Linked DNA regions of Notamacropus eugenii. The protein of the gene in region 2 interacts with the protein of the main gene of each other region in a pairwise test. Links are inferred from orthologs where the notes say so. Each region holds a gene or a part of one and is shown on either strand. Other genes may lie near its edges.

What was found.
Region 1: the proteins of PDE4DIP (region 2) and CCDC146 interact in binary tests that used the Homo sapiens proteins (3 or more experiments, as listed by UniProt). The two-hybrid records come from large-scale screens. The link is inferred for Notamacropus eugenii from reciprocal best matches to the Homo sapiens genes PDE4DIP and CCDC146.

The regions. Positions count from the first base shown.
Region 1 is NC_092874.1:153,280,403-153,296,491, reverse strand, and holds the start of CCDC146 (coiled-coil domain-containing protein 146), read right to left. Parts: upstream 6,556-16,089; 5' UTR 6,403-6,555; intron 1-6,402. Other genes in the region: protein FAM185A, read left to right, coding at 7,102-7,519, 11,696-11,805. UniProt on the Homo sapiens protein: Essential for sperm flagellum biogenesis and male fertility.
Region 2 is NC_092873.1:300,431,872-300,448,143, reverse strand, and holds the start of PDE4DIP (myomegalin), read right to left. Parts: upstream 6,058-16,272; 5' UTR 5,064-6,057; coding exon 3,939-5,063; intron 1-3,938. UniProt on the Homo sapiens protein: Functions as an anchor sequestering components of the cAMP-dependent pathway to Golgi and/or centrosomes.

The DNA.
Region 1 (16,089 bases), on a different chromosome or scaffold from region 2:
ATTTCCATTCTTTCCTTTAACTCACACCACAATTACAATCAGTTGCTAAGTTTTGCAGATTCTACTTTGATAGAATCTCTTAAATTCATCCATTTGTTTTCAGTCACAACCACCATCTTTGTTTAGACCCTCTTTATCTCTAGCCTGCACTAAGGCAATAGGTTCTTCATTCATATCCCTGCCTCCCTGATTGGCTTAGAGTGAATGTTAATAACAAATTGTTTCTGTTTTGGTCAGAAATTCTGAAGGTCTTATCTTCCCAGAATGATTTTTTTGAAAAAATTCTGACCAGGTAGGGAGGCCATTCTCTGGCTCCTTTCTTACCTAGCCTTAACCACTGAATGGGCATTGCCTCTGTCAAATTGAGACCTGTTAAGACCTTAGCTTAAAAAGGCCAAGTCATCTCCAGTCATCCTGACCTATATCTGGTCACTGGACCCAGATGGCTCCAGAGGAAAAAATGAGGCTGGTGACTTTTCACAGTCCTCTGTCACTTAAATCCAATTCATTTGCATGTCGTGGCATCCCCTCCCTGATGTCATGGTCTTCCTTGAGAATGAAGAACAAACATCAAAAACAAACGATAACCATTTTCTGAAATTCATCGTCTACACATCTCCCAAACTGACTTTTTTAAGCACAGTTCTGACCATCTTATTTCTCTGTTCAAGAAGCTCCAATGCCTTACTATTGCTTCTAGGATCAAATAAAATTCCTACATATGGCATTTAGACTTCTTATATGTTATTATTCTTTTTTCATGCACTCTATAATTCAGAAGACTAGATGGGTAAGAAGGAACTAGTTGTAAAGGACTTTAAGTGCCAAACAGAGAATCATATATTTTTGATCCTGGAGGTAACAGAGTCACTGCAGTTAACTGAGGGGGCAGAAGCAGTGATGGGTTCAGACCTATAGAGTTAGGTCTGATCTTTAAGAAAAACCACTTCTGGCAACCATGAGTAGAGGATGGACTGCAGTGGGGTGAGACATGAGACAGAGATAACCTAGCAGGCTACTACAATAGTTCAGCTGAGAGGTGATCAGGGCTCAAGGCTAGTAGGCTAGGGGCACATAGAGGAGAAATGCTGGGAAGGTAAAAATGATAAGATCTCACAATTTCTTCAAGGTCAAGCTAAGAGTTAATGGCAGAACCAAGACTAGAATCTAGTTTCTCTTATTTTCAACCTAGAACTTGTTCCATTATGCAATACATGTGATTCAAGCTATAGCATAAACATAAAAGAAATGACTTTATGCGAATTTATTATATATCATTTAAATTTCAAACACAAAGACTCTAACAAACATTATTCCGATATGACTGAGCAAAACATAATTGCCACCTTGTGGCAACTTACTACTAATGCAGCAGCAAATGTGAGAGCTCTAGAACTACTTATATTGTGTGTCTATTGGCCTACAATAAATTAAACTGCAACTGCTTATCTCACAAACAAAAAACATCCCAATATATGAAATAATGTACAAGAAGTCCTGTGTGGATGTTAGCCTGTCTACTAAAACTATAGTATATTTTGGAGTCTGGAGATGAGCAGAAGAGAATTAAGAGTTAAATTAGAAATTTAGGCCATAAACAAACTTTGAGAAATTTTTCTCTGTATGGGGGAATGTCCATAGGATCCCAGCTCTAAAGCTGGAAGGACCTCATAAGTATGTTAGTCCAGACCCCTCAGTTTACAGATGAAGAAATGGAAGCTCAGAGACATGAAATGACTTGCCCAACTTTACAGAGGTCGTAAATGGCAGAGCCAGAGAACTTAATCAACCGATCAGCAATTTATTAAGCACCTACTATGTGCCAGGCACAATGCTCAGGATTCAACAACAATAAAACAGTTCTTGCTTTCCAAGGTCTTGCATTCTAATGGGAAATACAACACGCATATATTACAGTGTATATAAAATAGATAAAAAGCAAATACAAAGTGGAAAGAACACGGTGGGGACTGGAGGAACAGGTGGCATGTGAGCTGAACTTTGAAGGACATTCAAGATTTGAAGAGGAAGAGGGAAGGAGGGAACGAAGAAAATGTATCAGAGGAATGGGAGTCAGCGTGTGCAAAGCATGAAGATGAGAGATGGAGGGCTATAGTTAAGGAGAACCATTTGGCTGGATCATGGACAATACAAAGATGAATAATAAGGTTGGAAAGGTAGGTAGCCTGACTTTGCACTTTGCCGTAGCTATGATAAGCTATGTGAACAGTTCCAGAATCAGGATGAAGCAGGCTTTCTTCCCACTTCCCTTTATCACTCTTTTGAAAAGCACTTATTAACAGTTTAATAGGTACCATGATCTAGTTTAAGCTCTAGAAATATAACTACAAAAGTACCTGCTCTCAACAAGTTTATGTTCTAATGGGGGAGGAGGGTGGTATAAATGAGGATACAGTGACCAGGAAAGGGAATTTGTGTCAGGAAAGACACAGAGAAGGTGACTCAATCAAGCTCACAGGAATGATGATTTCATTATGGTTCTGAGAACAAAAGGTAGGAAGCACAAGTGAAAAAGGTATACACATAGCTGAAGGATAGATGGTAAACAGAAAGTTGAACAGTGCCAGCTAGAGCCAAGATTGTCTTAACCCCTCTCAGGTAAGGTCTCTGGAGGCCAGTCTGGAAGGTAGAATGACAGCAGATAGCAGGGCAGAAAATGACCAAAGAAAAAGACTTCATGGCTAACCAACAATTAAAATTCTCAACAAATCACTAAGTATTTATTAGGCTCCAACTGTGCAACATTGAACTAGGCACTGGGGAATGGAGATACATGTATGAAGAATAAAAGATTCCCTAACTGCAAGGAATTTATATTCTAATGGGGGATATACAGAGTAAATATAAAATTTACACATACAACATCATTACTAGTGAGATGGAGGGCACTAGCATTTGGAGGAAACAGAAAAAGCTTCATGTAGAAGAAGGTGTTTGAATTGCCTCGAAAGGAAAAAAAGGAACTCTGTAAAGTAGGGGTAAGGAAAGTGTACATTCCAGGTAAAAAGGGAATCAATTATCAGAGAATAAAAGTACTACCTTGTTGCAGTGTGGGCACAGATAAGGCTGGATAATATGACTTTGTAATGTACCCAATCACCAGGCTTTGCAGGATTTCCTCCAGTTTTATTCAACAACTTGTGAGCAGATGCAGGAAGAGTATGGTGGGAACAATCCAGGGCTGAAATCTGGCCAGAGGACAAGGGGCGAGGGATTTAACTGCAGAGAACAGTGTGGAAACAGTGTAGAACAGTGCAGAAATAGCTAACTAGAGGGTTAAGGTTGAAGAATGAGAAAAATTGAAGTCAGAGAAAGGGTAATGGCCTGCCAAAGATTGACTAATGGAAGGAATAAAGGTCTTATGGAGGATGAGGAACAGATGTAGGAGTGAAGCATGGAGAGAGGTGGAACGAGGTGAGATTATGATTAGATAGAAGTTCAAAAATTGTACCCTTGGGAGCAAAGGTAAAAGAAAATACCTCACTTCTTCTCCAATGCTCATCTCCTTTAGAAACTTACAAAATAAGGGAGCATGTCAAAGATAGGACTTTTACTATATCAAAAAAGAAAGAAATCTGGGATGTTATTTTCGTCAAGGACCTAATCAGATTCCTACCCCTGAATTGTGTAGGATCAAGATTGGAGATAACCCTGGCCCCAATCCTGTGGCTTCAGTTGGTTGTAGAGAACATCCTTCAATAAACTTCATTTTGTTACATACGTTTTATCCATGGCTTCTTTGCCTTTCCCCTCAGTAATACGATGGTCTACTACAGAATCATTCATTTGGAGAGGCATTGGCTATCAAATTCAGGAACTGAAATAGGTAGGAAAACTTGATAGATTCTTTTCATTTTAAGAAAAATCCACACAACTCAAAGAAATATACTAATTAAAATTACTGACACTTTAGTGATGACTACAAAAAACAACCTAATTCCTACTGTCTGAGTTTATAATCTAGTAGATATAGAAAAGCTGGAATCAAATACCTGCCTGTAACTTATAAAGAACCCTAAGGTATTTGTGACCCATCACTTTTACAAGAGATTTGAAATTAATATTCTAAGATTAAAAATTATAGATGAATTTGCTAGTTGGCATCGGTGGCAGAAGTCTCCACACAGGGAGTTCTCTTTACAGGTCCAGGAACTTGCCACCCCACTCCTCAAATCAGGAAGTAATAAATATGCATTTTAAATATTCTTTAACTCAAATATCCACTCATTTAGTCTCAATTAATAGGGTTTTCCTGAGGAAACAACTTATACATTTTCCTAAATCTTTTCCTTTGCTATTATAAATTGAAATACAAATCACTAAAAAAGTAGGAATGAATTTAATTGCATTAGAAATTTTGTGGGAAAACAATCTCCATCTTTTTAAAAATCAATTCTTTTATTCCAGAAATCCATTCATTCTAGGATTAATTTATGAAAGCTAAAGACAGGAACTAAATAAGAAAAAGAAATGCTTTCTCTCTGGATTTTTACTGTTAATGATTTTTGTCTTCCAAGTTTGATAGAAACACTGAAGTATAAAGCTATGCTTGATAAACTCAAAGCATTAGGAAGAATTTTTTTTTGCTTTATTTTCTTCTTCAAAAGATCAGTTGTAAAAAAGGTACTAAAGAAAATACACAAGCGATCTGTGATTTACTCACTTTAGGGAAAATTTACCACCAAAGTAGATTACAATCCATCTATGACTTGTAGTAGAAAGGTCCTAGGACTGAGGAACAGAGGTGGAGTGACTTGCCCTGGGTTACCCAGATAGTATCAGAAACAGGTCTCATTTTCCTGACACCAAGCATGCTTTGTTATTCACTACACCACACTGTTTTTAGAGGAAAAATAAGAAAACAAATAGTAGGAGTACCATAAAATCTTAGTAGTAATAACTTCTCACATAATTCTAGTGAATTTTTAAAACTTTATATGATCAAGAAAAATTTTCTAGGAGTCACTCATTTTGCTTAAAATGGGGGTGTACAAGGAAATATGTTATATTATTTGGAAATAACATATACATATATGCGTATATATATGTATACGTATATATATACATAGCTTGATATGACTAGAAAATGGCTAACCTCAGAGATGCTATTAAGGAATCTGAATGGCTACAGGGAATGCTTAAATCCCATCCAAGTACACCCAAATTTAGGTTTAGGGTGCCCCAAATTTTAATGTTTATGCTTATATTTCAACCTAAAGTTGAATGTTTATGCTTATCGATACCTATCTCAGTATAGTGCCAGAGAATGGCCTACTGTACAAAATAGTTTAACTGCTTAGTGCAGTTAATTTGAAAACTCTTAGAACCGTTATTCTAAATAAATGTCTTTTCAAAATTATTTCGAATTTTGGGGTTCATTTCTATGCCTATAAGATGCTTAGTATATGACAGTGATGGCTGTATTCGTGTCTATAAGCAGTTTAGTGCATCGCAGGGAAGGAATTACTGTTAAATAAAGAATGTACTATCTGTGGGTCTATAAAGATTTTGACAGCTGTATAAGAAATTTAATTGAATTTTTAAAGTGCCTGGAAGTTTTTTGATCATAATTTTAAAAGAGGTATGGATACAGGATTTTTATAAGTGAAATAAGACAACAAAGCCTAAAAATTGTAAATAATTAATCTAAAACGTATTGACCAAAGCTCTTGAGGATGAGGTGGAAACACAGAAGAATGAAGCAAGGTAAATACACTTAAAATAACTCTGAATATGCATATAATGGTCAGCAAAATCATCCAGGACCCTTGGCCTCCTATCCAATCTTGAAACGTCCTCTTCTAACTTGTACAGTATTGTAATTTTTACATTCTGGGACAAGTGGAACTTCTGAAGTTCAGATTTCGTGTTATAATTATTATGGACGCAAAACAACCACAGTAAGTTGTGACTATATGAATAAGAGAACGGGAATTCGTTGGAGAAGGTGGTCACGGAAAGGCTAGGAAATGAGGGTGGGGCTGCAGTCAGGGATTCACAGACTACTGAAATGGGAAAGAAATTTAAGAGATCACACAGTCTAGCCTCCTTTTTCAGATGAAGCAAGCGAAGCGACTGAACGGGTAAGGAAAAGGAAAGCAATATTTACTAACATAATAGCTATACGTACATTTACGTATGTCTATACATGTACGTGTATGTAGATACATGTACACGTTAACCTACAGCTATATGTATGTGTAGGTGTGTATACGGATATATATGGTTTTTTCTGTTTCCAAAGCTCACTGAATTCTTGGCCTCTCTAGCCGACTTTTCACTCTCAGTTCCCCTCTCCTTTACCTCAGGACTTTGCGTATCAGTTTTGGACTCCGCCTCCCACATGGTCCTCCCCGTATTTCCAATGACTCATTTTCTTACTTTTTCGGCAATATAGACCCTCTTCCCTGGCCCTTTCTTTCCAGCGCTGGCTGCTTCGACTTTGGGAATTTCTGCCTTTCTTCCGCACTACTGCACCGCTCTCTAGAGCCTCAGACGCCGCGTCCCCTGTATCCATGGAGACCATGGAACTCCGCCGCACCAGTGGTTTCTAGGTTTCCTATTGGTTGGTAAAGGTCCCCCGCCCCCTTTCCACAACTATAGACCAATGAGCTCGAGGCACAGGAAACAGCCAGTCAGCTGCGTACTCACAAGCTTCCGCTCGTGTTTCCATCCGCCCTCAGCAATACGTCCCGCAGGTTCTGGCGCGGTCTTTTTGGGACTTGTAGTTTATTGAGTGCCTACAACTCCACGCTCTTTATACAGTTCAGAACTACCCATCCCGTCGGCCCACAGGGTTATTGAGGGATTGAGAAGGGTGAAAAGACACCTGGTGGGTGAAGGCTGGGGAGTTCCGTCCCCGGGTTTTAATTGCCTCTGGGGTCCAGGAGTTGTAGCGGCGTGCAGGGCTGGCAGATTGCGGTGGGCTGGGCGGGCTCGATGTATGGGGCTCAGGGGGTCATTCCCATTCACCTTGACCCATCGTGCCCCCCTTATTCCGTTAGCCTCGCCGGGTCGGCCGCTGTCAGAGAACCCCGGCGCGGGGCTGTGGTGACCTCGGGCCGGGCTTGAGCCGGGGTCATGTTTGTCCCCAGCGCCGGCTGGTGGCGAGGCGGCCCCCAGCTCGGCTTCTTGGGGCTATGGGCCGGGCTCCGGGCTGCCGCGGCCCCGGGGGCACGCCGAGCCCGCCCGGCCAGACCCTACAGCCTGGTGGAGAGCAGCGCTCGCCGGACCCCGCTCAAGGAGTGGACGCTGGTTGTCCACCCGTTCGGGCGGCTGCGGGCGCGGCTCCCGTGCGACATCGCCGTGAGACCCCTAGACCCTTACCACTACCCGGACGCCGACCGGGTGCTGGTCACGGTGAGCGGCGTGGAGGGCGGCAGCCTGGACCTGGACAGCCTCCAGGTGAGGTACGACGAGGCCCTGAAGCAGATGGCCATCCTCTCGGACAGCCTCGGCCCCCAGGCCTCGGTGGAGGTGAAGGTCCCCCTCAAGTTCGGTGAGCCCAGGGGGTTTCGTGAGGCGCCTCCGGCCCCCGCGGTCCGAGGTCACGGAGGGCAAGTCCACCCGGGTGATTCGAACCTGGGTCCTTTCCTTGCAGATTCGGCGAACCTTTTCTCGCGTTGCAGCCTCCCTAGCCCTGTCATTGGAGTAGTCGGAGACTTGTGATAGCGGCCAGCATACAGTGTGCAGGTGCTTTTAGGCCCTACAAAGTGATGGCACTTCGGCATGTCTTCACTTCCAGAGGTGTTAGTTCAATGGCCCTGTAACTGATATTTAAACATACTACTTGCCTTACTGTGTTTTTATAAACCTGAGAGGAGATGATGATTATAAAGTCATTACTATTTAGCAAGTAAAAGTAGAGGTCTTTATAGGATGACTATGAGTAATTGTTACTAAACATTTGGGAATTATGAACCAGTTAGGTTTTGCAGAGCAGCCTCTAGACTTTAAAACAATATCATCTACTCACTAAGGTGGTTTAAAAAAAAAAAAAAACTTCTCCCAACTTTGCAATCTAAAAACTAATTTTATTACTATTAATTTTAAGCCAATGTGACTAAAAGTTTATCTACGTTACTGGGAAATTATTTGATTTATTAACTACCCAGATTTTCAGAGTTTATGTTTTAGCACATCTGATTACTCTTGTTTCAAATGTAAACTTGGGTTTTCTAAGGCAGTACCAGCTAAACTTAAGATCTGGCAGGACCTATTAAAGTAGAAAAGCCGAGGTGACAGATGACTTGTCTGAGGAGGACTTGCCTAAATGTAGAAAGGCTCACTTGCCATCAGGTGATAAATTTGCTGCATAAATAGCCATTCCTGAGGTAGTCTATTCAAGTATAAGGAGAAGTGTTGCCAAATGCATTAATAGGAGTATGCACTGCAATAAAATCATGACTCCTTGAAGTATTGATATAAAGATTAGGGAGGGGATAATATAATGCTTGACTCTGGAGTATATTGAGGGAGATTCCATTATTTCTCTTTATTCTGTAGGTTATATGTTAAATGTCAGTGTCCTTTGCTTTACAGATCCATTGTGATTTACTCAAAGTTGTTTGATTGGTAGAACCAAGAATGTCTTATTTTCCAGTCTTGCAGCTATTTACACATCAGCAGTGGTCACATTAGCTTTTTATTTAGCATTTCATATTTTAAGGGTGCTTCATAGTCACTTAATTTCAGTGATCCTTCATTTAATTGGTGTTGGTCACCATCTTGAAATAAGAAAGCTTATTATTACTTGGTCCTATATGCAACAGATTTAATATTACAGACAAATTTGAATTTATAGCCCAAGTTCATGTTTAATACTGTTACTTTGACACTCTGGAAGGGACATGATTTTGTTGGCATGGTACTTTCTTTACTGATGTAGATTGTAACTAACCCCTTTACGTTTTAGTTGCCCTGGTATGGAGAAAAATTCTGTCCTTGCCACCTTTCATGTAGGCTAGTTCTAGGACAACAGACTGAAAATACCATAGTCAACACTTTCTTTTCTAAATTGTTAAGGCCTGGCAGATTGGGTATTTTTCTGCCGTATATATGAACTTTGCTTCATCTTGACATGACAAGTAGTCATACTTGTGGGAGTAGAAAATGTCAGTAGTTACAGTTCTAGACCATTTCCTTGAACCGTATAGAAAGAGCAATTTCTACCCACGATAGGCCTACAGTGATGCATCAGAATATGACGTTAGTGGAGGACGTGTTTAATACATTAATAGCACTATACATTTATATAATAAAAGTAATAACTCACATTTACATATTGATTTTAAGTTTACCAAACTTTCCAAAAAACTTAGTATAGTACACAGTAACAATATACTGCCCATATATTTTTTAAATTAATAAAACAAAGATCAAGAGATGTGAAATGACTTGACCATTGTCATATACCTAGTAAGTAGTAGAGGTGAAATCAAACCCATATCTTAACATATAAAATCACCTGCTTCTAATATGCTTTTTGATCCGAGTTTTAAGAAAGTTCTTATCTCAGTGAAGCAGAAGTGTTTAGACAATCAGGATTATCTGTAGATATTTGTGCTAATGAGGCTTCAGAAAATAGTTACGAAGCATAAAAATGTAAGAGACTGAGACCACATTCCCTTATGTCCTATAGGACATATGTCAATGGTTGGTTGATCTGTCAGTCTATATGAGACCAGGTATGCAGAGATTTTTGTAGGCTGGCTAGCCCAGTGCTATTTGACTTTGCTTGAACATACTTTTTCTAGGCACAGTTCTAGGCACAGTTTCTTTATTCATTTTCAGAACTTGTAAAGTGCACCTTCCATATACATCTAGTCTTATACTATGTGTATATATGTATGCACGTGCACATATGTATTTCTATGGACATATTTACATGCTTGTGTGCATATGTGTATGCATGTATGTGTATATATGTTCTAATTGGTAAAGAACTATTTTAATTCTGAAATTACATTCTCAATTCTTGACTGCTCTTTTCAGGTGATATTTTAGGTATTTTTATTATTACTCCAATGGACCAATAAAACTGGAAGGATTTATAAATTGGTTCACTTTGGTCTCCTTTACTTCATGCAGATACTAAGCCTATTACTGTTTTGTTTCATTTCTTCTCTATGTATTATATAAACCAGTTGCTCTAATGCATAGCTCTCATTTTGGTACTGATAAATTCTCTGGGAGAAACAACACTGTAGTCTGCCATGGCTCTTCTGGGAATTTTCCCCTTTCTGTAGTTTTTGCCATCCCATCCACCAGTCCTCCCTGACATTCAGGATTTGGATCCTTGATGAGTGCCATTCAGAAAATAGAGCTGTACAGAAGTATTTCTGCCAACCAGTGTAGGTCATCCTTTTTGATTATGTTGCTTTAAGCTAGAATCAGTAATTACCACCCTGCTCTCTCTAGTAGTTTTAGATAGTGGTTTTAAAAATTTCATCAAGTCGGAGCTGCACTTACAGGGGTGTTGAAAATTCCTTTGGAACCTTCTGAAGAAAGAAGGTGACATGTAAGCCTAAATCCCTGTTTGTCAAACTATGGGGCCTTGATTTCACTGCAGTTAAGAAGCATGCTGTTTGTTCAGTTTCCTATTGGTGCTAGCTCAGAGAGGGCATCTAGTGATTAGCGTGTGACTTAATCTTAGTTTTATTTTCTCATGATTGTTCTCAGAGTTGCTTAATGGCCAGCTGTGATGCTTCTCTAGATTCTAGAAGTTTATACCAATGGAATGCAACTTCTGGAGGATTCTATTGGATAGAAAGGCATCAAGTCTGGACCATTAGGTAAAACAGAAGTCTGTTATCTCAGGAACAACCTAGTTAATTACAGAGAAGCAAGTTACCTGAGGGTTGGTTTCAAGATAATTATTGGGGGGGTGGGAGAGAACCATAGTGACTCTTGAGGACAGCCCTGAGGCATGGAGAAGTCAAAACCTGTAACAAGAGGTTGGAGGTAGAGGTAGGTTGGAAGGAGAGGTTTTACAATGATCAAATTTTGGATCTTTGAAGTATAGGGTTATAGTTAAGATTTGTCCTTGAGATCTCCCTGAATCTCAGAAAATGTATTTCTTTTCTGCAGTTGTCTAGCATCATACCTTTAGTAAACATGACTAGAAAGCTATTTCTTCACTCCTTAGTCACTGAGAGTAGTACACACCAGTAACACGGCTGCATTTCCTAGTTACTTCTTCATTCTGCACTGGTATTCAGATGTGACCATGGAATGATCTTTCCATTATCCAGTAGGAAAAAAAAAATCATATTTTTCTTTTTGATGTATTTTGTTCTTTTGGCAAATGTATTTCATTAATATATTATTTTTTCCTTAGTATCATCCCATATATGCTTAGGGATAGACAGATAAGGTGACTTCACAGCCCCTTGTCCAGACTCATAGTAATAAATGTCATACTGATACCTGTCTCAAACAAGTATTCTCTTGAAGAGTAGAGGAAAAGTAGCTTCATCGCCTCTCTGCCTAACCTCTGCCGAGGTTAAAATAGTGGGACTTTCTTTCAGACAGCCACTGAAGGTTGTCTGTTTTGACTGTACTGCTTTATAGTATAAGCTCTGCCTTTTAGGCCAGATGCAGTATCGACTGCCCTGCTCTCAGAGGAGCTGTCCTCAGCTCTTGTACTAACTTGTCTTTCCTTCTTCATTTCTAGATCTGAATATCAGGACATCAGGTTCCGGCAGCGTAAAGGTGCAGGAAGCTGAATGTGATGATTGTAGGATAGAAACTGAGCAAGGCATCAGCTTTGTGCAGTCAGTGAAGGTATGTAGATATGTCAAATTTTCCTAAACTTATTTACTATTTAAACAAATGCAAACTTAGAATATTTGGTATGGCAATAAGTTGAAGACTAACTAATGATACTGATCTTTAACATGCATAATCAGTCACTTTTTAGAAACTCTCCAACTTTACTTTTGAGTGAGCTCTGCTGGTAAACCACTCTGGTGGAAGTACAATGGTGACAGACTATTTGGAGAGTTTCTCTTTGATTTTTTAATATCTAAAGTGAGTAATGCTCTCTGACTGTTTTGAGAACAGTTCTTTAAATTGTAGGGAAAAAAAATGTTCCCAAAGGAAGTTTTCTGAATTGTTTTCTAGATTTCTCAAAGGCAACATGGCCTAGTGCAGGGGTGGGGAGCCTGCAGTCTTGAGGCTACATGTGGTCTTCTAGGTCCTTGGGTGTGGCTTTTTAATTGAGTCCAAGTTTTACAGAATAAATCTTTTTATTAAGAGGATTTGTTTTGTGAAGTTTAGATTCAGTCAAAGGACTGCACTTTGAGGACCTAGAAGGTCACATGTGGTCTTTATGTCACAAGTTCTCCACCCAGCCTCAGAATCAGGAGAGGCCTGGATTCATGTCCTTGTCTGAGTGACTGGCCGTGGCCATGTGACCCTGAACACTCCCTCTCAGTACCCCACGCAGCTCTCTGTCTTAAATTTGTAAAATAGTTGCCTTCTTCATTGATAAAGGGAGCCCTTCACTGGTATCTTTCCTCACTAATGGAATCATAGGTCTAGTTTAAAAAAAAAAAGAAAACTATTGAGGTCATTCTACCTGAATAGTTATATGCAAATGGATCTATGGTCTCTATGTATGAGGAAACTCATTATTTAAAAGAACACTGATGAATATTAAACAAACATTTTACCCCTAATTTACATATTTTAACCAATAGGAAAATCTTAATTTTGTTAAAAATCAGATGTGTATTACTCTTAGTGACAATTCATTATGATACTATGTAGAAAAATACTGCATGTGGAAGGTAAGTAAACTTTGGAAACAAAAATTTTAAATACTGGAGAAAACATTTTAACTTCAGTGCTAGAGTGTTGCCTGAGTCATTTTAGGCAAGGTCAGTTTAACACTGTCCTTGTCATTCAGGAATTTTAAAGAAGTCATCAGGTAAGTTCAGAATTTTTTTCCCCCTTCATAATCAAAATCCATAGCTCTATCAAAAGACGGATTGGGGACAGTGGGAGAGAGCAAGGAAAATGCCACATTTGTGGCTTATTTGCCTGTGTGAGAAGTATAGGTTTTAATAAAAAGCTTCTTGGATGCCTTTCCTTCAATACTTAAAAAGACTTTATCAGGTCACTTACAGTTTTCTGTAGTTTTATTGGTAAATGCATGCTTTCCACCATTTATCACTTTTTAATTATTTTAGCAGTCTTCAGTTGTTTTAAAGATTTCCCATTTTTAAATCCATCTGTATTTTTATAAACACAGTTTCTCCACCTGGACATTTTAGGGACATTCTTCCTTTTTTGCCCCCAAGTTGATCTATTTTTGGACTAGACAAATACATTTTAACAGAATAACTGAAGCAATAGCCATGTGTAGAGCATACTTTTAGAAAGTAAGAATTCATTTTAACTTTAAACTTTGTTTTACTCAAAAATAGGTCTCAAATCAGTTTTGCTTATCCTAGCACAGTCTCAGAGTAGCTCTTTACTTGAAACTGGATCTTACTTCAAGTGATTTATTTCAGAAAATATTGAAAAAGAGTAGGAATTACTTCTGGAACCTAGTGTAGCTCAATGTAATTATGGTGAGTTAATCACTTTTTGCTAGTTGAAACTGTTTCAGAAAACCATTTCAGGCCACTAGGTGGCAATGAGGACTTTGAAGACAGCCCTCTGGTTAAGAATCACGTATGATCAATAGGGTTATTAAATTGGGCTTTGCAGTTATTTACTTCAGAAATGTGACTTATGTAGGTAATGGGCTGTTTTAGTTTTCAAATAAAATCATAAACAAATTTTTTTGGTGCTTTGAATTGCTTTTTTAAAAATTTCTCATATTTTTTATTTTTATTTCTGTAGCAGGCAAATTATTGATCAGTTCACTGACAGAGGGATAAGCCAGTGAGAATGAATTCCCACCATTACAGTTGAATTTAATATTGCTTTGACTTGGGAAAGTCATCTCTTTGATGATGAACCCAAAGAAATGGACTTTCACAAGAAAATTTCTAAGCTCTATACTTTTCTTTTGTTGGGGTAAAAACCCCTTTTTGAATTCATAAAGATGCTTAATGATGGGAATATTTTAAGGCCTGTTAGGTATCTGTTCTGTTTTCTTCTTCAAAGTTCTATACACATTTAGCTTGAGAACCTAGGTGTCAGGTTGACCACGCTTTCCTTGCTAACTTGAAGAAAAGATGGACCCTGATCTTTTCCCTCCATTTCCCTGCTATATCACTATACTTTCTAGTCAACAGTCAGCAAGGCACAGAAAAATAAATTATTCCAGACAACTTGACAGGGAGAGGCACATAGAAGACATTCCCCTCACTAGTTTGGACTACTCTGTCCTTTCATATGGAACAGGACGACAAACTATTACTAACATCTAATAATCAGTGAGTGGTTTGTATGTCACATTAGCATCTCACTGGGAACTTCAAGGCTGACCTGTCCTACCATTTGGTATTGTAGAGAGGGAGCAGACAGTATGTACAGATGTTCATGCATGCGTGAATGTGTAAGCATATATCTTTTTTTTTCTGTTTGCAGACCTCAGTGTTTTTATTCATTTATTTTTAGTTTTCAACATTCACTTCTACAAGATTTTGAGTTTCAGATTTTCTCCCCATCCCTCCCCTCCCCCTACGTCAAAACTGCATGCATTCTGATTATCCCTTCCCCCAGTATGCCATCTGTTCTGATCCCCCCCTACTTGTCTTATTCCCTTCCCCTTCTATTTCCTGGTATGGTAAGGTAGATTTCTCTACCCCATTGCCTGTATATCTTATTTCTCAGTTGCATGTAAAAACAATTTTTAACATTGATACTTTGAATTATTTTGATATTCTTATAGTAAACAGTTGGTTCTTGATACAAGAGTCATTTCCAGCTCAGTGGTCAGTATACACTCAAATTACTGACTTATTGGAACAGGAAATCCAAAGCAATACCAAGTTACAAGACAGAATATGAAGCAAACTGATATGGCAGTTTCATTGTAACCTATTTTACTGAATCATTGACACTGAAAAATGGGACATGAAATCAAAGAACAGACATTGACACCATTATTGTTTCATACAATTAAGCTGTTAAAAATCAGCCCCTACATCAGGGAGACTAAAAAGCCTAGAAATCAACCCAGCCAGCAGACATTTGATCTTGTCAAACATAGAGATAGAGCAGCCAAGGGCTTAGAACAGTCATGTTGGTAAACATCTTCCAGAGGTTGATCGTGGAAGATCATGAACTGTATCGCCTCATCAAAGTGAGACGTGTTAGGGGGAAAGCAAGTTTATGGAAAGTTGGCCAGAGACTCATTTAACTCATATCATCTCAAGGATATTTAAGGGTGAAAGTGGAAGGAAAACAACAAATAGATGAAAAATGAAAACGAGATGGCAGCATTACTGTAACACTCTTTTTCTCTGTCAACAACTGCAGAGTCCTACTACATCTGAATTCTGATATCACAGCCCCTGATGTGCATCTATATGAGGTAGAAATGGCATTAAAGGAAACAGAAATGAGAAGAGAAGCTAGACTAGACCAGCGTACACAGAGGAAGTCTACTCTGGAAACAATGTAATCTTGTGGCCATTGGGGGATACCAAATACTTGGGGGAAAAAATCACATAGTGATTAGAAGGCAACTTCATAAGCCTACTTTCCTGTCTTTATACACAGATTTTTAAGAATAATCTACACATGTATTGAGGACATTTTTGATAAAGGTATAAGAAAGGAACAGGCAGACTTTTGCCCATGATCTTCTAGAGTAGACCACATTTTTGCAGGCATGCAGTTGGCTAAAAGATGGTCCCACAGACTTTTTTTCCTATTAAAAAGACTTTGATTAGATAGAGCATCTCTCTTCTACTATGATGTTTCCATGCATGTTAAAATCACATAAAATTCACTGAATGATATAACAACAAAAATAACTTTGATGACAGTCTGAGTATTTATATCAGGTGAGGCATGTGGTGACAGTGTAGGTCATGAGAATTCAGAAGGTTGATGAACTGGGTATTTAGTGTGTTTTAGAGAACATCCCGAGTATGGACCTTAAGA
Region 2 (16,272 bases):
ATCTTTGTTTTTAATTCTAAATTAGGCTGGGACATGTAAATAGCTTCAGAATCAGGGCAATCTGGGTTTGAGTCCCACCTCTGACACCTACTAGTTGTCACACCCTGGTAAAAGTAACTTTAACTTCTACTCAGTGCCTCTGGCAGCTCCCAAGATCTGAGTTGCAGAACAGGTGACAGACAGTCCACACTGGCAATGAGAGATTTCTTACTGCAATGATATTTTATTGCAATGAATCACAGGCCTGGTTCAAAAAACAATCTTATTCTTAAATTTCCTTCCAGTTCTAAATACCTATGTATTGGAAAAATAATCCTTTTTTTTTAGGGAAAGGGTTCTTAACCAGAGGACTGTGAACTTGTATTTTTATCATGCTGATGACTGTATTTTAAAATGTTTAAGCATCAAATACTTATTACAAGAGTGAATTGTGAAAGTTTTATCCAATCTTCAATCTGCAATACTTTGGTTCAACATTATCTAAATTGCTAGATCTGGTGAACTGTTACAATGACATTGGAATGATAATGCAATTTGAAAATGAAATCACTTAGCCCAGAGATAGAACCTATAAATACTCCCTTGCTTTAGAAAGCAAAACCACTTCCGGGCCTGGTGGCTAGCCAAACGCCAACCCTTCCATCTAAGACTAATGTTGTGACATTATTACTGTTACTCAGATTCTTCCAGTTAAAAAGCATTTTGCTTGGCATTGCTTCACCCTCAAAATAACAAGGCCCAGACCTCACGCTACTGTAATTTTCAACTCAGGCTGCTAATAAAGGAAAGACAGACAACAGAACGATAGTAGAAGATTAAAGCTCTGGTCCTGGACTGATGGCCCTTTGGACTCTTGTCACCTTCCAAAGGGTGGCCAGGAACTATGACTGCAACAAGCCAAGTGCTCCAACAAAGGAGAGATTCATGTCAGTCACTACAAACTTTGCTGCAAATATTAAAAACATCTTGTGCTGTCTGTATTTATCTGAAAAGGGGAAAATGCCAGATGTACCAGAAACCTGAAAGGCTGTTTGGGAAAGAAAGCATATCCCCAGGGCCTTTCTAGTTCAAAACCAGACAATGAAGAAAAGAGGTCTCTAAATAAAATATAGCTTTATACCTACCTACAAAAAAAATGCTAACAGCATGAATTCTTGGCAAAAAACATGGGAAAGAATGAAATCGATTCACATAAAGTAATCAATAGGTAAGAAATATTAGGATATTTTTCACAGAGAAAATCAGCTAACAGGAGAAAGTCCCTGAGAGCAGTCTTTATTAACAGAGTGGTAGTCCCTGAGGAAAGGGTGGAATTAAACAAAAGATCAGAGACATTGGTTTACTTAGCCTTTTTCTCCCAAATTTTAAAGCAAGGGTTACCAAAACCACATTTACAGGTCTCTACCCATTTAAGGATTTAAGGGGCCTGACAAGACAAAAGAGAAATGCCCTCTTTTTCCCTCTACTCCACTCAGCTCTGGTTCTGTACGAAGCACTCCTGCTAAGAAGCACTAGTGAAAGCAATAATAGGACCAATTTCCAAAACGGATCACCGATTTTATTTAGAAATAATACTGCAAATTCCATTCATCTTTCTAGAATTTATTTCCCACTGCTGATTTTGGAATAATAAAATAGGTTCTACAATTCTTCTCTTTCATTTGGTCATGATATTATTTCACAAACAATGGGATAAAAGGAGGCATTGTGATACAGTGATCCTAGCAGAGGTGGGAAATAGGGTAGTCCCAAGTTTCGTGACTTGGGAAAAATCTGCAACTGACCTTCCCATCTATAAAATGAAGATTTTGGTCTAGATCACCTCTAAGGTCCTTTTCTAATTCTTACATATTCTGATTCAAGCAAGGAGATGCTAGCTAGCAGGGAGGTCACATACAATGGCCATGTTGTTCAAATGCTGCTTTTCATATCCTGAACCTTTGTGAAAGCTCTGGAGGTGATAAAATGGAGGCATATGAAAACATGTCTAGTACGACCACATTTTATTTTACAGAATCTCCCAAAACTCCTTCTGTAACTCTGGTTACCGTGAAGGGACTGGGAAATCCTCTTAAGAATTACCACCTTTAAAGAGTATTTCAGTCAGTGTAGCAGAGAAGGAAAAGCATAATGTTAAGAATGAGGGGATCTAGTTTCTAGAGGTGACCCTGAGGCAAGTCACAATTTTCTAGGAGACTCAATGTCTTCATTTGTAAAATAAGAGGGTTAGACTAGAGGATGTGCTACCTTGCAATTCAAAAATATTAGCAGTGGTTGAAAATGAAGACAAAACTCTTCCGGTTGGGTCTATGCTTTTCCAGTCATTGTTCTTCTGCCTTAGCTATTATCGACCTGTGAAATGAAATATTTCCTCCTTCCACCTTGCCTAGGCAAATATTACTTCTGCAGAATTGATATGAAAGCACTGAACATTATTTGTGATGATGTCTAGCATACTAAATGGCTTCTTAAATCTCTCTGAGTCTTAGTTTCCCTCATGTAAAATGGGGGAAAATTATTATTGAACAATCTACCTCAAAGCTTTGTGAAGTACTACATACACATAAACAATATGTTATCATTATTATTATTATTTCCATCTGAAAGTATATAAAAGGAACAAGCATAAAAGGAAAATATATCGGTCCTAAGCATAATAGTTAACTTTTAAAATGCAGAAAATTAAAAAATAATATAAATAGTACTCTACCTTGTATTTATAAATTTTTTTCCAAAGAATTTTCACAGATATTCCTTACATACTGCGCACAATATTTAAATACTATATATATTTTCTTATTTTTTTCTCATGAGAAGATATTGCTTTGGATGCTATTTTGATACTAGGGAAATTTAATTTGGCATCAAATCTTCAGGTAATAAAACTCATGTCCTTGCTTTTGTTAGTTCATAGTACTCTAATATAATTTCTAAGTATTCACTCCAGATGACAACATTTGTACCTGTACCGTTTCTACTTATACTATTACTGAACAAGTATGATTTGTTTCTGAAGTACTGAAGAAAACTATAGGCATCTAGTATTTATGGTTACTATAGAAACAAAATGGCACCTCTCTAGTGTCTAGGCTGAATTAAGACCAATTGCCTCTCTCAAGTCATTAAAGTGAAATCAAAATACTAGTTGAAGTGGTCTTCTTGCCATAAGACAAGTATGTAAAAACCTCAGTTTCGTGAAAAATATACTCAGCACAAATGCACCTGGGATTGATGACTGGGAGTGACTTTCACCTAAATGCTTTAAGTAATATCTTAGTTTAATCCCCAAGGCCTTTAAAACAATTTTAAAAAAAAGACTCAAGGGATAAAACAAGCCATCTTGAAGAAGAGCCCCCAAATGATGCCCTTAATTATAATAAGTACAGCAGCTGAACAAAAACATTTTTCTGATAGCATTTTACTAATTAATGGATTTTCCTCAAACTCTACCATCTGCTACAATCACTTTGGGAGCACTTGAACACAAAAAGATTACTGTTCCAGGCTAGTCTGTGAGAAAGAAAAAACTAGCCCTCTCATTGACAATGAAAAGGATCAATCAAGTTGTGAAACTAAAAGAGGAAGAGGTAAACAAGAGAGGGATAGCATTAGAGCAAAGGCTGTCTGCCCTTTTTTAGAAACAACATTTACTAAGAATTTAGTGTTGATTGAATCTTTTTGCTTAAAAAAATTTTGGGGGGGGGGGGTCAACTGATGTTGCATGCAGAATCAAAGCTGCAAATGGATTTACCTACACACCAAAAAGTGGCAAGAGAAATATGGGCAGCATGAAAGTCAAGGAAGAATAGAGTTAGAATACTTGACTGGTTAACTTTGCTGGTTAACTTTGACTAATTAGAAGCCATGTGAAAGTCTGGAGACAATCTAGTTGCGTCATCTGATAAAACTGAATTGTCATAGTATTACATATCATCTACCTGGAACCGGAGCGGCAAATAGTCCTCATAGAGATCATCCCACAGTTCTTGCAGTTCAGAAATCTCTGGGGAACAACCCACAGGTGTCTTGGAAAGGGATTTCACAGGCCTGTTTAGGAAATTGGGACTGGTCCCATCTGCCATGAGATGGCCAGGCTTGGTTCCAGGTGGACTGGATTTCACTGGTATAGGAAGCTTGCTCCCTCGGGGGCTCTGGATGGGTTTATAGTCAAAACCTTTAATCATGTTAAGCGCTAGTTCCAGCTTGTGGCCACATGTGTATTGGATCGCTTGATCATCTGAGCAGCAATCACACTTTGGGAGTTCTTTACTGCCTCTCTCAGGTTCCTCATCCCTCTGTTGTGGAAGGCTGGCCTGTACGGTAGCATCCAAAGATTCCACGGAGGAACCAGGAGTTCCTTCTTCCATGCTTTCCCCATCTGCTGGTCCCTTTGTGCTTGATAGGTCTGGTGGCCCAACCTCTGACAAGGCTGGCTCTTCAGTACATATACTGGTAGACCACCTGGTAGAAGCCCCATAGGAGATGCTTCTGGCTACCTTTCGGGGTACCTTACAAATGGCTTCATAGTCAGAATCAGCAACCCTTAAAGCAGCACAGCCCCTACACCTCCTGGGCCTGTTTCCAGGGCCCTCTGAAGTGTGGCAGCTGTGAGCTTCTTGAGTCTGGTCCTCATTTTCTGCCCAGCACTCAAACCCGGAGTATGCAAAGTCTTCCTGGAGCAGAGCCGTGTATCTGACATCTGGTAAACTGGACATATCCACAGTCCCATTCCCTACTTTGGCTTCGGTGCTGGGGTCATCGTTATTCTTCCTGTACATGCTGGCGATGCAGAATTTGAGGCGCTCCTTCTCAAGCAGCAGCTTTTGTAGGCGCTCAATGGAGAGGGCTTCGATCCTGGCGATGACGGTGTCGAAGCGATAGATGCGGTCCAGCATGAAAGCGCACTTGCTGCAGGCAAACTCGCCTTTGCCATCGCGGGAGACATCCTTGCCCAGGACATGGGACAGGAGCACCTGGAGGTTGAGCTTGGTGGTGGTGTGGAAAATCCAGCGCCGCTGGTTGCCGCACAGCTCCCGGGCACAGATCCTGCAGATTTCCTTCATCTTCGGTCCTGGCTGTGCCTGGATTCCCAGGGACGGGAGGGGATGAGCTGGGAAGGGACGGGCGAGGGATAAGGTCGGGTGGGACGGGCTGGGAAGCGCTCACTCACTCGGGGGCTCCGTGGCGCGGCACGCCATGCCCCTGGGCACCCGCTCTCCCGGCTGCCCCACACCTGTGCCTCTACCTGGGCGCGCACGCGCGCTCCGCTCTGGGTACCACTCGCGGGGAGTCCCCGCCCCTCGTGGACCGGCTGTCCGCCGGCGGGAGACTCAAGGGGATGCCAAGCGACCCCGGCGCCGGACTCCTTCTGAACCCGCCATCCTGGTTTCGGCCATCCAGCCACCGGCACGGCGTTCCGACCTCTCTTCCTCTTCTTGCCGCAGCCACTGCCCCAGCTCAGGGCCGCCGAAGCAGCCGCCGCCACTAACGTTCCAGCTCAGAGATTGAGGATCAGATTTCAAGATGGCGCCAGGGGCTTCTGCGCACGCGGGAACTGTAAAGGGCTTCTGGGAGTTGCAGTCCACCCGGACTGGGGCTCCAAGTGGCTGAGCGCGCAGAGCCTTTGGACATCCCCGTCTCTGCGATCCTCAGGGTGGGCTTCAGCAGCGGAGGGGGCGAGAGCGGTGAACCTTGCCAGCTCGGTCTCTGCCCAGAAAGGTCCCCAGATCCTGCAGTTTGAGTCTCTCAGAGCTGTCCGTCTACTGGTTGCTCCTCCTGCGCAAGGACAAGGGGAGGGGAGAGAGAACTCCCTCCTCTTTCTTTTTCTCCTCCTCCTTTCAGCCTCGGGGACAGTCAGTGCCACGTACCCCGGTGCGAGCTGGCAGCGCCATCCCTCGCCTCCTCCTACCCGCACCCCCTCCCTGCTCAGCCCTTGCATGGGCATCCTTTCAGACAGCGGACACGTCTTGAAATGTTCTCTATGGATTCGAGATCTCGTCTTGGGACGAAGGAATGTCCTTCCACCACACCTGCTATAACTCAGTTCAAACCATCCAGGAAAAAGAGAAGGCGAGGACTTCTCCTGGGGCATGGGAAATAGAGAATAACGTAACCTAGTGGGACGAGCCAACGGCCCGAGTGAAAATATCCTTGCAAGTGCAAGGTTGGACAAGGAGGCAGAACACTCCAGAAACCTTCTGTGCAATCCGTAATGTATTGGGATTGAGTGAGAATGGATCTGGAAGGGTAACAATCATAATAATACCATTTATATAGCCTTAAAGAGTTCAGGCGGGTTTGCATAAGTTATCGCTTTTGATCGTCACAAACAGGCCAACGAGCTCAATTCAGGACATTCAGGTGAACAAATCCTATTTTAACAGAAGAGGACAGGTGGGGGGGGGGGGGGAACAGATTCTCTTTTGGGGCCATAAGGGAGCCAGATAATCATTATCTAGAGAAGGTCATTAAGTCTGACCTAGGGCCAGGGAATTTTAGTTCAAGATTATCTTAGGCACCGTTCAGTATGGGGAGTTTTAAATGAATTTTTGATTACCTTATCCTGGGATTTTTTTCCTGGATGTTTTTATTCTCTCTTCTTTTGTTTAAAAAAAAAAGTCGTGGAAAACCCACTCTATACTTAGTAGTCTGTGGCAGAGAGAAGTGAGAAAGGGAAGAGGGAGTTGAATACCAGACCAAGGCTATGGTAAAAGAGGGAAATGGTCATTTGGAGTTAGGTGGGGCAGATCATAGATTTAGAAGGGGAAGAGAAGGAAAAGGTCATCCAATCCAATCTCATTTTTTTTTTTTTATCTATGAGAAAACAGAAGTGACTTCTTCAAGAAAATACAGATAGAAAAAGTCAGGGCAGGACCAGAAACCAGGTCTTCTGATTTTTGTTGTTGTTGTTGTTCTACACCCCACTTCTTTCCAATATCTAGAAACTCAGGGAGCTAAACAGAATTATGAACCAAGGGAAGTCGGAAGATACCTGGAGTTGAGGGTTCAGTGATGGAAGAAAGTTTTTAAAAAAAAAAAAAAGGTAAAGATGAAAGTTTTGGAGACAAAAAGATATGCTCCTCTGATTCAGTTCCAACGAGGAGCACCAAGGAAAAAGGCCTAGGGTTGGATATTTCACAAGTGATGTGGCTGAGAAAGATGGATCAGTGCTGAGGAGAGTGAGTTTTAAGAAGCATTGAGGGACCCTTTACCAGAGGCATACATAGAGCAAGAACACTGGATTTGGCTAAAATGTGGAGAACTTGGATTTGAATCTTCACCCTGTTAATAATGACTTCAGGGGGAAAGAAACATTTATTAAGCCCCTACTATGTGCCAGGCATTGTACTAGGTACTTTACAGATATTATCTCATTTGATCTTTATAACAACCCTGTGAGGTAGGTTCTATTATGATACTCATTTTTGTTCTGTTGTTTTTCAGTCATGTCCAGCTCTCTTGGCAAGGATATTGAAAAGGTTTGCCATCTCCTTCTCCAGATAATTTTACAGATGAGGAAACTGAGGCAAATAGGGTTAAGTGATTTGTCCAGGGTCATACATATAGTTAAGTATTAGAGGCAGGATTTGAACTCAGGTCTCCCTGACTCAGTTCTCCAAGATTCAGTCTCTAAGATGAAGGTGATAGATAAGAGGACTCTTGAGGTCCCAGCTGCAACTTTTTAATTGTGAATGTAGTAATTGACTTTGGAGATAGAATAGGTGTTAATATCTGGGGGTTGTTCCATGAACTACAAGATTTCAGGGGTTTCATGAACTTGGATGAAAAAAAATTAATCTTTCCACGATACTTTGTTTTCTTTGTAATCCTATGTGCTTTATTTTGTGCATTTAAAAACATTATTCTGAGAAGTGGTTCATAGGCTTTTACTAGACTGCCAAAGAAGTCCATCATACACACATGGGCACACACACACACACACACACAAAGTTAAGAACTCCTGAGATAGAGATTCCACATTCAAAGTCCCACCTCTGACATTTACTGACTGTATTTAAACTTTCTGGCCCTCAGCTTCCTTTGCTGCAAAATATGGGGATTGGTCTAGATGGTTTCCTCTAGTGGTCTGATCCTATGCTCAAGACTGATATTTGGCTCGATCCCCATATATTGGTTCAATTCATTAAACAGGTTTTTTTTTAAGTACCTTTTATGAGCAAGGCACTGAACTTAGTTTGGTGCAGCTCATGTCCAGTCTAATAACTGCATACATTGTTTTATAGGTCAATAAAAAAAGGGAGTGTAATTATTATGATCCCTATTTTACAGAGGATAATCCCAGGAATTAAGCGTGTTGTCTAAAGTCACCCAGTGAGTAAAGGGGTAGAGCAAGGACTAGAGGCCTAGTCTTCAGTTCACTGCTCTTTCCAACCCTATATAAGTTCCAAAGTAGGAACACCCCCCCAGGGGGTGCTAGAATGATGGGGGGGGGGGGGGGGGCAGTAGTAGCCTCAGGTGCAGGTGGTGGGTATTGAATAAAAGTAAGAGGCAGTAGAAGTATAAGGAAAGAAGATAATTTTGAACAAAAATATTGGTACACATTTCATCTGTTGTGTATCAGTCGTAGTGATTACATTATTTTTCCAAATAAACACACAAAATGCAAGTTATAACTCATCAGTGGTCAAGTTGGAGGGCAGGTCTTAACAAGTAAGTATTGGTAGGGGTGTAGGCTTGTTGTCAAGAAGTCCAGCATGCATCCACAGGAATATGTGCATGTTTATAATACGATACTATACAGTTACATGACATAATATTGCATCATCAAAATTCCAATGCAGAAAAAAACCACAAGTATACAGTAAATTATTAAATTTAAGATGCATCTTTTTTTAAATGACACAATTTTTTTTTAATTAAAAGGTTAAAGAAAATAGATTTCCATAGGGGTTCTGAGTAATTTTTTTTGAGAAGGGGGCAGTAGGCCAAAAAAGTTTGGGAAACCAATACACTAAAACAAAAGAGAAATCCCCAGGTAAGTAGGTTCCCAGTTACACCAGCCATCTCTGAGAACATGTTCAGTGTCCCATGTGGCACCCAGTACAAATGCCTTGCCTCCCAACAGAGAACAGATACTTTTATAACTCTGCTGTTTGAAATTTTCGGCCCCAAAATAGAGTTCTAAGATTCCAAAGTAGGGTTTGAATGCAATCATAATAAATTGCACCATCTGTTTCTTTAGCGCCTCAATCTGGTATGCAAATATTCAAACCCGGGTATCCTGATATTCAGCTAAAGAAAACACAAACAAACTGCTAGCAGTTCCATTTGGGGGGAGGGGTTAGGTTTGGAGAGTTGAAGAGCTCTGGGGTCTTGAGATACCAGCCCTGTCCCTCGCTTCTGGACTTCCAAACCTCTGCCCCTGCCTCATTCTGGAACTTCCCTCAAGTCTGAGCCTCCTCAAGTCTATCCCTCTGCTAGGTCCACCCTCCTCCCCCACAGGGGAATTCCTCCTTTGGCCTCCATTTTGTAGAAGGGGGTATAACGCCTGGCCAAACTTTGTTCCCTTCCTGGTTCAGCCCCCAACTTTGCAGTCTTTATTCTCCTCCTGGTTCCACTCCTGACTTCCAAGTTTCAGAATGAAGGTGAAGGGAGAGGAGACCTTCTCCTCAATGTCTTCTCCCCTCCCCCAGCTTTCCAGCTCCCTTTTGGGTGTTACCTTCCCAAGTCCGAAAGTAAGGTCCTTAAGCACTGGGACTGTCTTTCTTTTTGCTTGCTTTTGTATCCTTGGTCTCTCACATATCCCAGATAAACAGTAAATGCTAAATAAATGCCTTTTTCCTCCCTCCCTTCCTTCCAATTATGATATCTTATTTAATTATACATATCATGGTCCTGTCACCAAATCAAAGCAATTCAATCAAAGGCTGTCAGTATGAGGTGTGTTGGAAGGAGGATCCTTTTTCCCAGCTCTGAAATCCTGTGAAATACCCAACATAAAATTAAGAAGTCTCACAGTCTCCTTTGATTACATTTTCTGGGCCCCCTCTAGTAAGAGTTTTAAGTCAGGACATGTTGAACAAGATTCTTCAGAAATGCAGCTGTTGATCTGTCTAGTAGGGAGTATGCCTTGATCTGCCCTGACTGACGGAAGGAATGGAAGGGTGTATCCAGACCCCACCTTAGCCCTGGTGTGTGTAAGAAGCAAATAACACCAGGCATAAGACAGAGGTGGAGGCCAAAGCATGGATTTTCAGTATAAATCAGACACGCCTATTTTTTAAAGGTCATTTCACCAATAACAGTTCACTTCTACCTTGTACTTTACCACTTACAAACCTGCAACAGCCCTGTAAGGTAGGTTTTACAAATACTGGTGGCTGTTCAGTCATTTTACAGTTGTGCCGGACTCTTTGTGACCCTATTTGGGATTTTCTTGGCAGAGATAATGAAATGACTTGCCATTTCCTTTTCTAGCTCATTTTACAGATGAGGAAATTGAGACAAATAGTGTTAAATGACTTGTCCAGGATAACACAACTATGAAGTGTTTGAGGCTGGATTTGAACTCAAAAAGATCAATCTTCTGTATTGCTGGTAGAAGCAAAGTATTTACGTTATAGAAAGGTCTCTGCCTTCACAGTTGGTAAATCTTTAAGCTTGCCAATACATATATCTGCCTGGGAGTCCCCAAACATTAGGTTAATATAAAGATTTGTGATTTCATCAGAAGAAGAAACTCCCTGCACCAAGAGATTTATGACTTAGATAACACAAAATTCCTCGAAGCTCACAAAGGTTTTAAATGATTTTTCCAGGGTCAGAGAGCTAGTGTCAGAGGAATTTGAACCCGACTCTAAGGCCTGCTCCCTAACCATTCTACCACTGCCTCTAATTGTGATCACCTAGAGATAGATAGATAAAGGACAAAAGGCAAGCTTCCCAGAAGGGAGAATTTTTGAAAGGGTCAGTCAATCAATTAGCATTTCTTAAACCTCCACTATGTGCCAGGCACTGCTCTAAGCTCTGAGAATACAAATTTTAAAAAAAAGACAGTCCCCATCCTTAAGGAGCACACATTCTAAGGGCTGACTCTAAATATTATCTTAAAGTGCTACGTAAATGTTGACTACTAGTATTATTATATTGTAAAACTAAAGAGATAAATTGGACCTATTTTACAATCACTAAAAATTCAGAGGATAACATAGAGCATAGCAAAAAAAATCCGTAACTGACCTAGTTAGCAAATTAAGAGCTTCATGGTTCTTCCTGTTATCATATTAGCTAGAATTTTTAACCTAAAAATGATGTCTAATTTAAAACTAAGGTGAGATATGCCATTAGGAAGATACTAAAGGGTTTATTTATTTTTTAGATAATTCATAACAAAATGACTGATACTAATGATTATCTCATGTATATAACGAAGGGAAACTAGACTGATGGGTAGAGCTGACATAAGGTGAGAAGTAAAATAATTAAGCAAAATAATGGTCAAGTCAAAATACCTTATTTGTACAGTACTTTACAATTTATGAAGAGTTTTCTCATACATTATCTCATTAGATCCTGGCAACAACTTTGTAATTTATTATCATCCCAAATAACTAGCAATTCTGAGCCTAGGGTAAATTGTCTTGATGAGGTAGAGAGACCATGTAGTATTTGAAGCCCACCCTTGGAAGAAGCTAAACAGGCTGAACTGGGGAATGTCTCACCTGATAGCTTCTATATGCCTCCATAAGAATGTAGCACAGGGCAGGTAGAATATCACTTAAGGAAATCCCAACAGTGGCAGGGATAATGTGTATGTATCCCCTTGATGTCAATTATTCACTGGCACCCTGAAACAAAGTCTTAGTGGGTCCCTCTTGGGTTACACCTCTGTTAAAGGTGAGAAAAACTATTGAGAAAGGTTCAATGATTTGCCAGTGTCATATAGATGGTAAACGATAGAGACATGTCTTCTGATACTAAGCTCAATGTTCTCTTTAGACCAACACTTCTCAAGGTGTAGTCTGGGGTTCTCCAAGACCCTTTCAGGTGGCCCATAAGGTCAAAAGTATTTTCATAATAATTTTAATTTCTAACACTGTAAATTTCAATAGATGTAACTCACATAAAAGTTCTTTGGGTGGTGTCCTCTATAATTTTTAAGAGTTATAAAGGGGTCCTGAGACCTCTTTGAAAATAGCTGCTCTAGCCTACATCCAGGATTCCCAATTTGTAGGTCAAAAGCCTCAGAAAAAGTAGTTATTGCAAAGAGTCTCAATATCTATGTGAATATCAATCCTTATCTGGTCATTATCTATTTTCTTAATAGATGCAAATAGAAGTTGATCAGGAGAGTAACCCAGTCAACTTGGTGTTTACTGGGTAGTGAGCCTTTGTTTGGGACTCTTGAAAGCTCCTCCCATTAGAGGCTGTGGGCATGCCATTGGCATCTTAAGAGGAAAAAAGACAACACTTGATTAAATCACAGTGACTGGTATTGACCTGAAATAGATTGGTTCATTAAGAGCTACACCCATTGGGCATTTGTTACCTTGGATACTTGTAGAGGATATGGGAATAGTGTTATCCATATTTATGGAAACCTAGGCTATATTTGGTGATTTTTCAACAGAGTAAACTCTGAGTATAGACATAATAGTCAAAGATAGATATTGATTTTTCTAGGGTGACCTCCACGACTGAACCTGGCCTGATAATAATAATAATAATTAATGACAACAATAACACCAACATGGCTGGTGTTATAAATCACTTTAAAGTTTTCTAAAGTATGTTACCAATATCTCATTTTATCTTTCCAACAAGCCTGTGTGAAGTCTGCTGCTATTATCATCCCCATTTCACAGAGGAGAAAACCAAGGCAGATGGAAGTTAAGTGACTTGCATTGTCTAGGGTCACACAGCTAAAGTTGAGGTCAGATCTGAACAAATAGACCAACTTTTCAAAACAAGAAATAATAGAGTCAGTGACAGACTGTACTCAGGACATGAAGGGGAGGGAAGTCAAAATGATTCCAAGGTATTTAAATTAGGTAACTGATAGTGGGTCCTACCAGCAGCAGAAATGGGGTAATGGGAAGGGAGGGTATATGGAAAGAAAGTATAACTTCAGTTTGGGATGAGTTGTGTTTTGAGACAACTGTGATTTAAAAACAGTAGAATTGTCCAGCATACAATTGAAAATATGGGAGAGCTGAAAAAAGCCAGTGTCTGAGACCATGGGCCCTTGTCATGGGCACAGCCCTCAGAGAAGGGGCAGGGTCTTCATTAGGGGTCAGGTATAGGACCTTGAAGCTGAGCTTGGGAGCTATTAAACTCATTGCTGACTTTAGCCCTGGTGATTTTATTCTTAGGTGTCTACTCTTACTGACCCTGTAGCTCCACATTAATATGACCAGTAGTACACATGGACTTCATTTTCCCAAGGCAATATCAGCATGAGCAGTGGTGTGATGGTAAATATTTAACAGTTGGCTCTTTGGAGAGTTAAAAGTGCATAAGACACATTTTTAATTTTAATTTGTATTAACTTTTCTCCATTCATTTCTGAAGTCTAGATAATCAATAAAGCAATACATCAAGCCCTAATTTATAGCATTTGTCATTTGCCATGGTATATACACTGACATTGAAAATTTAACAGTCAGCTCCAACTGGTTCAAGGTGGCACATCCCTAGGCATGAGATGTACCAACTGGTTATGAGATTGTCAGTTCCCACTGATATGCTGGCATGGTGGTGGAAAAGTAGGGTTTTCTGATCCCACTGTGGTTTTATCAACATGCTGAAGCAAAGATCATTCCTCTACTTCTTGCACATAGATCACAGAGCTCTTAATTTGTCCTCGAAAGAATGGAGTTGGGCCAGTTATCAAATAACCAGCATTTTTATGGTGCTGGAACTTGAGCTAAATACCTTGCAAATCTGAAATCATCACCCCTACGTGATATCCCCTGCAGCCTGTCCCTGCAAAGGTATTCCTCCCCACCCCACCCCCACATCAGCTTTTTCTTATACTGCTGTGGAATATAATTGCTCCATGTCTCCGCTTGCTCCTTTCAGGGTTAGGATGTAGCTTTGAGAGAAACTCACATAGCAGTAATAATTTGAACCATGTGAATGGAGGAGATTCCCTGAGGGAGTAAGTGGATAAAGATGGGGAGAGCATGAGAGTGAGAGGGATAGTCACAGTGAAGGTCAGAGTGAGAAGTCCTAGCAGAGGAAACAGAGAAATGGGGAAGCAGGAGAGAACTAGGCAGAACAGAGGCACAGAAAGCAAGGAAGGAGAGCTCTAATAAATGAGCAGTTAAGAGCATCATGTGATTTGGAAAAGTCAAAAGAGGATGAGACCTGAGAAAAGGCCATTGGATCCGACACAATTTAGGTCATTAATAGCCAACTATAAAGAATGTGTTCTTTTCAAATGAATCTTTAGTTTTTGTTAATGAATCAATTAATTTTTAGTTTTTCATTACTCTAGTCTGTTGTCTACAGATAAAAAAGGGATAGGGAGAGTAACCATTCATAGATGACCTCAGTTTGAGTCCCAGCTGCATCACTTACTATTTGCAGAGCTATAACTAGCATGAGGCAAGAAGGACTTTGCCCTAACGTACTAAAATGTGCAGGGAGAGGATGTTCTATGCATACAAAGTGTTCCCATTTTTATATGATCCCTGTGAAGTAATTACCATAAGTATTATTGTCCCCATTTTATGGATGAGGAAACTTAAGTTTCAAAGAAGCTTAGAAACTGGCTGGGAGGAGGGGAGAGAAGTCACACAATCAGGAGTCATGCCAGGCAAGGGGAAGTGGTCCAATTCTCACTTTTGAGGGATTTGGAGAAGGTGAAAGAGGATCCTTTCAAGAGGGACATCATGAAGATGAGTGGGACTTGAGGAGTGTAGACTAGGGAAATTGTTTCAGCAAAAAGTTACGAGGCAAAGTGTCAGGATAGGGGCTACCATGGGAAGGAATCCTGTCAGCACCTGGGAGAAAAGCCCATTAGGGCCTGCAGTAGATATGTCTATGCAAATAGTAAATGGATAGCTAGGACTTGAAGCTGGGCCTTTCCTTGACCTGGACACCATTTGTCTCTATCATTATGAAAGTCTGTACACCTGGAAGTATTCACCTGAACCTTAGAGTTCATCTTTGTTTCCTCATCATCTTCTTCAACATCCATCTAAGGAAGAAATAAGTCCTGTCAATTCTACCCTCACAATTTCCTATCTATCCCTTCCTTTTCATCTCATCCTAATGGGACTCCCTACTTCACTCCTATTCACTCCCTTCAATCCATCCTATACATTGCTGCCAGGTCAATCTTCCTGAATCACACTGCCCTACTCAAAAATCTTCAATAGCTCCCCAGTACCTCTAAGATAATTATAGCAGGGTGGCACAGTGGATAGGGCCTGGGGCCTGGAATTAGGAAGACTTGAATTCAAATCTGACCTCAGACACTTACTAGCTATGTGACCATGGGCAAATCACTCAATCAATTCTGTTTGCCTCAGTTTCCTCATCTGCAAAATGAGTTGGAGGAAGAAATGGCAAGCCACTTCAATATCTTTGCCAAGAAAAGCCCAAATGGGGTCACAAGGAGTTGGACATGACTGAAATGACTGAACAACAACAAAAAAACCTTCGATAAAATCCAAATGCCTTAGCTCAACTCTTCAGTCCCTCCATAGTGTGGCCTCAACCTAGCTTTTTAGTTCTATTTCCCACCAGTCACTTACAGAAACCCTCTGTTCCAGAGTCTACTCATTATCCCAGGAAATACTTTATATATCCTCTGGACTTTTGTATAAACTATGTGCTTGTCTGGAATGTCTCCCACCTTTCCTTTGTTGCTCACCAAAATCCTACTCATTCTTTAAATCCCAGCTTCTTTTAAGTCTCTACCTTTTCTGTGAATTCTTTGCTTTCTCCTAACCCACTGTGATCACTGTCTGTGCTCTTTTAGTACTAAAAATGTTTCCACATACTATTAGTTATCTTTTTATCTATCTCCCCAACTACCAATCAATCAACAATTATTTATTAAGGACCCATGATGCTCCAAATATTGTGTTAGATCCTAGGGCTATGAAGAAAAAATAGTCCCTGTCCTCAAGGGAGGGCATTCTCTTACATTAGGAACTTACATTCTACTAGGGGAGGCAATATGTACAAATATAAGTATGTACAAAATAGAGAGAAATAAGTTTAAAGTGGGTAGGGGAATGTCATGGTCAGACCTGTGTTTAAGACTCTCTTTTTGGCATCTGAGTGGAGGATGGACCAGAG